2 linked regions of the Saccharomyces cerevisiae S288C genome follow. Changing the gene in region 1 together with any one later gene gives a genetic interaction. Each region holds a gene or a part of one and is shown on either strand. Other genes may lie near its edges.

Region 1 (4,042 bases):
ATGTATCGAGGCCACACCTTTTCATGCGTCTCCGGATGGGGGCTGGAAAAAACAATGCGAACAGTCTATAAATAAACACATTTTCGCAGGGACAGAGTTTACGCAGACACGCCATTTACATAAGCTTGATTACGCGGATTGCCGTGGTGCACTTTCGTGCACTCGCACATATATATGCACGTACATAAGGGCCTCATCTTCCTCTCCTTTTTTTCCCCCATCTACCTATCGCTGTTATTGAACGGAAGCATCTTCTTTTTTTATTATGCTCAGAGGGCCCTACATGACAGCTTTTTTTTCCCCAATGAGCTGCTACGGTGCCAGATCTGCTTATGTTCATTATTTTGGATGGTAACCGTTATAAATTTAAAGCGTTTCTTCGCTAGGATGGTGAATATTAGTATTTATCAGCCGTCTCGTAATCGTTTAGTTCGTTACTAGCGGCAAATTTTGTTTGATTTGTTATATGATCATTTATTTTTAATATCTTGCGTACACAATCAATTGCTTTTTGTTATAACTTGGACATATAAACATTTCGTTCGGAACGTGGCTAAGTCGCATTGGATGTAGTGTGTAAAATAATTCTCGTATATACCTTCAATGTCTTCTCTATTGCGTGTTTGAATATACGACATCCCATTATAATCAGCATTGAGGTTTCTTAGAGACTCGAAATCCTGAAAGGAATCCCTAATGATTTCATCGTATTCACACCAACCCAAACGGATCCAATTTTCGCAGTGGGGGCATTTCACATGGATTCTCCTAAATCCCCCGTTCAACGTTTGAGTGTAGTAGGCCAAAGGAGAGGGAATGATGGATACAGTAAGAGAGTTCAAAATTTTTTTGCTAAACTCTGGCTCTTTTAATACTTGAATTTTGAAATTAAGTTTTCCCTGGATTTTTAACAGCTTAGACTCGAAATGGTATAAAGTGTGAGGCTTAAATTCAGACAAAATGCCGTGCGCAAAGAATAAATGTTTTAGGTAGTTTTCAGCTAGAATCCAATTATTCCCCTGGCAAAATCTGCACATCAATTCCTTTTTCTTTTCAGAGTATCGCATGTATTTATACATTATCAGAGAATCCAGACTGTTGGGGTTTGACTCTTCGGTATTGGATCTACTAGTATTGTATAGTGCCTGTACACATGCTGAGGGGGGACAATTTTGATTTCTTTTTATTTTATAACCAAATTCGGAGTATCTGTCTTTCATCCAGCCTCGGATACTGTGATGTTGGAAACACCTTGGAAGAAAAATCAGTTGCTTAGAAATACTTTTAAACACATGCTTACAATCAGTGTTGGCTTTACCAAAGTCAAAATTTTCGCTATCGTTGAATATTTTCCTTTGTGGGAATATTTTGTTCTTGATGGTTTTTCTTTTGAGTGATCCACTATTATTGGATACATTCGTGGTGTCCGTTAAAACCCTCGAAAGAGTGGATGTTGAAGAGTCAGGTCTTTTAGACTGTGTAAATTCAGCATTACTGTCTATCCAAAAATCCACACCATTTGTTTCTTCAATACGTTGTGCGGGAAAAAAGTAGCCATAGTCCATCTTAAGGCTTTTAAATAGCTAATATTAAATACTGTTAGGATAGCAAGAGTGGGTGATTTATTCGTTAGAAATATACGAGTCAATAAAGTCTAGTACCGAATTAATGTATTAGCGAACAAATTCTTGTGGTTTTTTATGAAATCATCACTACTTCAATGTGTTAAGGTGTATTTTCGAAACATTTTTCGGCGCTGCCAGTAAGACGTACGACCCTTTTTTTAGTGTCAGTAACTATAAAATTATGACGTCCGAGAATAGCGTAGAAATTAAAAAGGGTAACAATGATATCTAGCAGCTTTCAAAAAAGGGAAGGGCGGCACAGAACCTTACATTGGACAATGCTTTGCCTTCACTTATACGATATTTTGCATTTTTTTGCTATCAAGATTTGGTTAATACTGTATCGTGTAAATTGAGATCCCACCTCCAAAACTTGCTTTTGGACAAAGCGATATATTAAAATAACTTAAATATCCGCTTAACCAAGCTCTTGATCCAAACGATATCCGGCTATAGTCAATCACAATCCCTGAAGAACCATTTCCAAGACCATTATCTTTATACTTAATAAATATATAGATTTACAGGTTATTTGTATATCGCTAGCATTATTGCGTGCTATTTTCTAATAGTTACTGGAGGGTTATATAATTTAGGACTTTATAAAAACGAGCATTGTATGCACTTGCAGCAGTGTAGAACTTATCTGACGAAACATGTTTCTTACTTTGTTAACTGATATCATTAGTGATTTTCAATACCGTCTGAATATCCACTATAGCTGTCTTTAGCGCTACGAAGAGAGCACCGTAGAATGGTTCCAGACGGATTCTTGGCCAGTAAAGTACATTCATAAGTTAAACTCAATAGTTTTTCCTTTTGTTACGAAAAATTTCTCAAAATATTTTTTATTATTTTGTTCTTCTTGTGGGAAGAAGCGAAGCCTTTGGACAACTCCCCCAGTAGGCGAATTTGAGTTTATAAAAATTTACATTTAAAACTAATTAGAATTATAAAATTATAGCATCCTTGACAATAACTAATCCTTTCTGTTCGTTGGTAAAGGAAAAACTTAGAGGTGCGTAATTTATCAATTCATCAAATGCTGGAATTTTCCTAACAGCGGTACCATTTACAACCGATTCCGAATCATATTCTCCCCAATAACAGCTAATAGAAACAGACAGTTCGTCTTTTGTCCCCAACTTGTCATCCTCTACATTTCCATCCGTCAAAAGTTTTGGAAACCACTGGACTCCGATATGGTAAGTTTCCTGATCGAAATCAAGTTTATGCAATTGCAGTTCGTTTATGCCAGAAGCAGACTTGATCGTCTTCGTGATATTAGCTTTCTGTGGGGCCGAATTTTTCTTTTGATATACCGTGATTTCTCTGACAGGTGACTTCGCCTGATGTCTACTTTCAAAAGTTAAAGTGCAAGCCCTGTTCTCCTTCACCTCCAAAAGTAACTCTGCAACTATTGGTTCGTAAGGAGATCTCTCTGTTGAGTTTCGGTTATTATGTAAAACATGAACCTTGACCATACTGCTGATGTTCGTATTTCCATTCGTGCTCAATAAATTAGGTTGCATTCCATCATACATACAAAGTTCCATTCCATTGGTTACGGAAGTACAGTTAATATGTGTAGAGCTATATTTTATACTTGGTAAATCTTGCAGCATAGGTTTTAAAAAATTTCCTTCTCTTCCAAGGACATGTACACTGGCAGCGTTCCCTTGAGACAAATCAATATTTTGAGAAAACCTTACTTTTAATGGGTTACTATTGGTAAAGGGGTGCACTAGGAGCGTTTTGGATGCGGAAATCAAGAAAAGCAGTGCAGTTAAAGAAATTGTGATATAGTTGACCTTATAGAAAAAAGGTAAAATTGGTAGCGCGATCAAAATACTGCCCACCATTCCGAACCTGAGTACATCAAATGTAGCCTTACTTCCTTCCTGGACAGTATGGTTTAGTGCGTCCATGATAACATCCACACTGTTAAACAAAATAAATGATGGTATTGGTACAATTAGCAAAAATTGAATGATCCAGGCATAATCGGTATACTCAAGTTTTAGAGAATTTTCTCTAGTACTCAATCCTTCCTCCATGCTATTAGACCCCTTCAGTAATGGTACCCTTTCATCATGTTGTTGTGACGATGAATCCATACCATGATCCTCGTCAACATTATGTGATGGGCCAGCTGAAGTAGTTGACACATTATCATCTTGGATACTTGCTTGATCGTCTTGTGACGATGTAAGTTGATCTTGGGGTTGTTCCAAGTTTTCCTGACCGTCTCGTTCCATATCTATTTGAGAATGGGAGCTGTAATTGGAGTGATGGTCCCTACATTCTCTACCAAGCCTCTTCCTTGTTCTCATTCCCAACGCTAGTGCAAGTAGTCTCAATATAGCAGCTATTGTGCTCAGAAGAAAGAAAATCGAGAGAGGATAAAGCCCGGTATA
Region 2 (6,321 bases), on another chromosome or scaffold:
AACATGTCGTCCAAGTTATTACATCTGCAAAAACTCCATGATTACGCATACTTCTAAGATAAAAAAGGACCTCATCGTCAGGGTGCTTCGTTTTTCTAATATGCGAGTTTTTCACTACATTACGCAGTAAAAGATTAAAAGTGATTGTATTTGGTTTAGTCCCCTCAGCCTTCATTTGTGCAAATATTTCTCTACAAGACGCAAAGTCGAAGTGCTCACTGAAAAAGTATATTGAGTCATTATAAACTTGAGCAGAACGCAACGGCAGAGTCGTCTTATTGGTTGGATGAAGTAGGTGCCGCAGCATCTTACGCACAATACCATTTAGTTTGGAAGATGAACGAAAATTGAACTTTGTATGACTTAGTATTCCAATATAATTTTCAAACAATTGAGGGTTCTTTGAAAAGTCAGGGAGAGGAGGGATCTCGTCATTACTAAACTTAAGAAACTTACGAGTGAAGCGTTCTGGCCCTGAATTCTTCTCATTCGATGTGCAATCTATCAGTAGCGTCAATAGTTCTCTAGTAAACTCTTGAGACTTTGCTGTAAGAAGTTTCTGGAATTTATTCGAGGAATTCGTTTGTTTAGAGAACATATACATTCGTTTTGCACGTTCCTCATCATAGTCATCCCTAATTTGTTTCCTAGAAAGCGTTAAAGTCGGCAGGCTTGAAAGGTATTCCTTAACTTGCTCCCTTTCATACTTCACACCATGCCGTACTATTTTTTTTGCCTCTCCATTAACTGACGTTGATGTTGGGCTATCTATTATTTTTTCATCAACTTTCTTGACATTTGCAATTGGTATACCCTCTCTGAACAGGCCTGGAAATATTACTTTCTGATATAGTTTTGGAGCTTCTCTCCCACTTTTGGATAGTGCTTGTGTCAAACACCTTAATGTATTCATAAATATACTAAATGGCTAAGGATGCCCAAGAGTGCCAGAAGATGCCAGAACAAAATCACCCCGAAGTAATCGGTTTTAGTTCTTTTGGCCTTTCCTCTTTTGAAGTTCTGTGTGCGAAAATGACGATTTTCGCCCGAAACCAATAATACTTTTATGACACTATTAAAGATTAAATATAGTAGAAGTATCTAACTTCAATGCACGATAACAACGAAGCCTGTGTTAGTGTTATCATTTCTGACTCGAAAAATTTTCCCACAGATTTTCTGGTGTGGCATCAGAATAATTAACGAATTTTTACCTATTTTTTCACTACGTAAAATATAGTATAATCTGCTATGGCTAATCTTCTGCTTCGATGGAATCGTCCCTATAGCTTTCACCACCAAACAATGAAAGTAAAGCAGGTAAAAATAGGAGAGCATGCAATGCTGCTACAATGATTAGTGTAAACCACATTCTAAAGTAAAATACATCAAATATTTTCGATTGGGCGAATGCAAGTACACAAACTCCAATGAATTTGGTTAGAGTTATACCTTTGATGACGGACTCACCTATGGTATTCAAGGAATAGAGAACTCTTGAGTTTGCGTCTTTCTTGGTTTCACTGGGGACCACTGTAAATGATCTAACAATATGAACACAAAACTCGACACCCAAACCGACACAAATAATTAAATTGACTAAACTGACAGCGTTGAGTGAGATACCTAGTAGGGCCATCAAAGCACCAATATCTACGATAATCATGGTAACGACCAAAGCCAGTAAGAATGAGCTGCGTATATTCTGCAAGAAAACAGATGAAATGAAAAAAATTAGGATAATGGCACTCCCTATTAGCTTCAACGTCAATGGTCCCAAAGTTTGATATTGAACAAAAAAAATGTAAAACGGCGAGTATGCAAACATATCTAGTTCGGGGAAAGAACTTGATATCCTAACTCCATCACTATACGCCTGGATAAAGTCCTTTTGGGATCTCAAAGGATGATGAGCTGTTCTGAAAACTGACGCAGACACACTCGTTTCATTATAAACTAACGCAGTCGAATATGGCGCACGACCACCTAGAGGGCAGGGGTCACTAGGCGCATTAATCCATATGCTTAGGTATTCCATGAAGTCCTTGCCCTCAGGAAACCCTGACATGTTGTAATTCCAAGAACCCTGCTGGAAACAAGTTTCACAACGTCTACTTGGAAAAGAGGGAGGACAAACCTCATCTGTTCCCTTCTTTAATCTACAACACTGGTCGTTTTGAGGATTTAAAAACATGAAATAATCGTCCAGCCAATTAGCCAATGGCTCCGTAATTGTTGACCTGTGTCTTTCTTGCTCCAGTACATTAGCTAATGAGTCTCTTTCGCAAGTTGTAAATTTACCACATATTTTCTGTTGGTTTTGTCTTTTAGTCAAATCTAAATTCTTCACGACCATGTAAACCGGTGGTCCTACGTTTAGGAAGCTATAAACATCCTTAAAATAGTCAACCAGGTAGGAATCCTGTGGAACAGCCAATGTTTGATCTAGCCCAAATTGAATTTCTGGTAAGAAAACCAGAGATGTGAAAAACCAAGCCGAGAAGATAATGATTATGAGCCTCTTTTGCGTTAACATCTTAAAATAAAACGTTTTCAAAAATGATTCCTTAGTTTCTTCATTTCCGGTAATTTGTTTATAATTGGATCTCTTTTCGTAGAGAGACAAAATGGACACATACGCTGTTAGCTGTAATACTCCGTTGAATATAACAGAAACTGTGGAATATATAGCAAAATTATGGACAGCTGGCATTGTAACAAATGCAGCTATCAAGAAGCATCCGGTTTGACATAGCAATGACATTAAAATGGAAGGAGACATTCTCCCGATAGCGCTTATTATTTTTTGATCAATTGAATACTCCGGTTTTTGCTCGCAATTTCTATCATACTCATGTGTAATCAAGAAAATATTATCTATTCCTATTGCTAAAATTAGAAACGGTATTACTTCTGCTATGATCAATGTCGACTTCAAACCAAAAAGAGTTAAAAATCCGGCTGCACAAACAATAGAAGCCAAAACTATGAGTAAACCAGATATTCCAAGTAACAACCTAGTTTTCCCATCCTTTCTCCTCAAGGCCCATGTAGCATATAAAAACATCATCAGGTATGATATTGCAACGGTCGAGATATCATTATTATTATTAAGCTCTTTTTCCAAGGATATTTCGGTATTAAAACTGATCCTCAGGCCCTCGGGGACCTTTAAATCCAATAAATACTCTTCCAATCTTTCTTCCCAGCGATTAGCTGATTGAGTGTGGTTGGTCAATAGAAGTGTTACAACAAACGCATGCGCATTGAGAATATCATCGTCACTGAAAAGAAGATTAGTTTTTAGAGGTTGCTGGAAAGTAGGTAGACAGTTTACAGGAAATTTCCCACATTCCTGCAGTTCCCTTTTCCAGCTATCCTTGTTTGGTAAGGCCCCCTGAAAATACTGAGTAAAAGACTCTATTACGCATGTAGAATCTTCTGTTGGTCTGAAGCAGAGATCTTGGTATCCAATATTTTCTGACGATTGTAGCTCTTCCGTAATAAAATTTTCAACGTCAAACCACCAGTGAAGTGTCTCATATGATAACACAGGGCCTGTCTCATTCACAACAAATATTTGCTCTGTCCTGTAAAATGGCCCAAAATTATCATCGAAGTACTCTTTTTCTTTGAATTTTTCAGAATTTTTACTCACCCACAAATTAATTGGATCTGTTTCAAGAGTAGCGTACTGAAATATGATGAAACTGAATACAAAGATACTAAAAACAGTGGTTATTAATATCTTGTAGGGGTTTTCAACGGAAAATTGTCCCACTTTCGTAAATAGGTTAGCGAGTTTACCATTAAAAAAGTTAGTTTCATTATTGAAACTTTCGAATACATTCGTCTCTGATTCATCTAAGGAACCTGATTCTGGAACAATATCGTCGTCCACAATCATTGCCCCGTTTTTTTTTCTTTTACAGAGATAATACCACATAAATGCAAAAAGTGCACAGATTGTGTAAAAGATCAGAACAGAAAGGGAAAAACATGGCAGAGGGCCAACTTTACACACGCCATCTTTTAAAGGTTTTAAATGGGGGCAAGACTCTTGACAATCAGAACACGCACATTTATATTGAGCATCATCGCAAGCATAAACCTCATCATTAAATTCCTGCCATTCTTTTTCTTCATTTGCTAAATCATACTTGTAATTAATCTGAAAGGGGGATCCACCAAGCATAGGTTTAGCATCCCCCAAAAACTTCAAGAATTGACTGTAATTTTTAGCACCACCTCCGATTAGGTCCATCGCATAACCGTTGGTAGCAGAAAATTTAATATTCTTACATGAGTCATAAAATTCAGATGCCCAAGACGAATTCATGAAAACGTCTAATTCCGCAACAATATCTTTATCTTCTTTTGACTTTTCTACCTTGGTAATATTGACAAACCTTCCTTGGTCAGCAGCGCAAGTGAAGTGACAGAACAGGTTATTAAAATTCTTGAGGCATGCTGGGCATGAGGAAATTAAAGGTTGAGCCTTTTGTAGGTTATCTCTCAGTGCTACCACTTGATCTTTAGTACAGCAGGCATAACGGACCTCTTTCCACTCTTCACCACAAACTTCAACCAAAAGTTTGCTTGTTTCATCTGAAAGAACAGGAGGTTCAAAACTACGTGGCACAGGGCAAGGTAATTCGTTTCCAAATACTGACTTTTTCCCACAGTTCCCATACATGGCACAGGTAGCTGTTCCCTGAACGAGCCGCATCAGCTGGCCAACTAGTGCTATAATCCATAGCACATTCATGGTTTTACTAATTGAAGTTCTGCTCTTGTTCTTTTTGGAGATGAATTTAGTTATCTTCTACACAAGAACGTTGTTATACTGGTTGTTGATGTTCCTCTCGTTTGGCACTCCCGCTATATAAACGCTAAGGGGGTCACCCGAGAAGTTCAAGGCTCTTTATCAGAATATCGCAAATAATCTTTAGTACTGTAGGTAATGGGCTAGCGCCATCCAGAAGTCTAGTTTAATTGCCAAAAAGTGGCGCTCTTGATGTTAGTGATGGGAAGAGAATATCTTGACTACTCTATCGTTCGGTAATAGTTAATTACTGGGATGCGCTTAAATGATTATACAAGTTATTTATGTCGACGACTGCCTGTAGAAAAACAATGTAGCGAATACCTGCATAGCAGTTCAATAATAGGAGAGAATCATTGCGTATATATTACGAAATACCACAACTGCAACACATTTATGTAAGATTAAATTGTTGCTTACATCTGTTGTGACATTAGCCACGGTATGCAATTAGCTGAATGATTTATTTCAATAAAAAAGGAAATAGACCTTCCCAAAGATAATCCAACTTCCCAGCATTTGCTTTTGAAGTTTTGCTTCGTATTGGAAGGCTTTAAATGGCGTATTTCTTCCGTCATTTCGCACCTTAAGTGTATTCTGTTTCTTACGCGCAACGCACTTTTCTCAATAATGAGATCTAAACAATGATTAGACAGAATTATATATAATGAAAAAAGCAGCATGACTAACTTTGTTAGGAGTTAGGAAAGCCAATTCAATTCATAATGAAGCTTCTAAAGGACTTATTGGTAGATAGAAAGGAATTTGAGGATTGGAAGAACAATTTAACATGGGCTCGGGATGGTACTCTATATTTGACCACATTTCCTGATATTAGCATTGGGCAGCCAAAATATGCTAAAGACATTAATTGCAACAGTAAGAATTTATTTCATGTGAAAGAATTCCCGCTAGAATTTGAAAATAAACTGGATTTCGAGCTGGCGCAACAGAATGGGTTATTAAATTCACAACCTGTTTGTTATCCCAGAGTCTGTAAGCCATCACCAATAGACGATTGGATGGCCGTATTGAGCAATAATGGTAATGTTTCTGTGTTCAAAGATAACAAAATGCTCACAAATCTCGATTCAAAAGGAAACTTAAGTAGCAGAACCTACCATTGTTTTGAATGGAATCCTATTGAATCATCAATCGTGGTTGGTAATGAAGACGGTGAGCTTCAATTCTTTAGCATTCGCAAAAATTCAGAAAATACTCCAGAATTTTATTTTGAGAGTAGTATTAGATTAAGTGACGCAGGCTCAAAAGACTGGGTCACTCATATAGTATGGTACGAAGACGTTCTTGTAGCGGCGCTTTCAAACAATTCTGTATTTTCAATGACAGTTTCTGCTTCCTCTCATCAACCCGTTTCTAGAATGATACAAAATGCTTCGAGAAGAAAAATTACTGATTTAAAGATAGTGGATTATAAGGTGGTTTTAACTTGTCCCGGATATGTGCATAAGATAGATTTAAAAAATTATTCAATT

Evidence for each region. A genetic interaction does not mean that the proteins touch.
Region 2: mutations in ECM8 (region 1) and NCR1 together harm fitness more than expected from each alone (negative genetic interaction), as found in Saccharomyces cerevisiae (2 studies listed by BioGRID).

Annotation. Positions count from the first base shown.
Region 1 is NC_001134.8:387,750-391,791, reverse strand, and holds ECM8 (Ecm8p), read right to left. Parts: upstream 1,566-4,042; coding exon 501-1,565; downstream 1-500. Other genes in the region: PFF1 (Pff1p), read right to left, coding at 2,576-4,042. UniProt on the Saccharomyces cerevisiae protein: May be involved in cell wall organization and biogenesis.
Region 2 is NC_001148.4:543,078-549,398, reverse strand, and holds NCR1 (sphingolipid transporter), read right to left. Parts: upstream 4,769-6,321; coding exon 1,256-4,768; downstream 1-1,255. Other genes in the region: AEP3 (Aep3p), read right to left, coding at 1-913; transcription factor TFIIIC subunit TFC8, read left to right, coding at 5,551-6,321. UniProt on the Saccharomyces cerevisiae protein: Involved in sphingolipid trafficking. May recycle sphingolipids between cellular membranous compartments.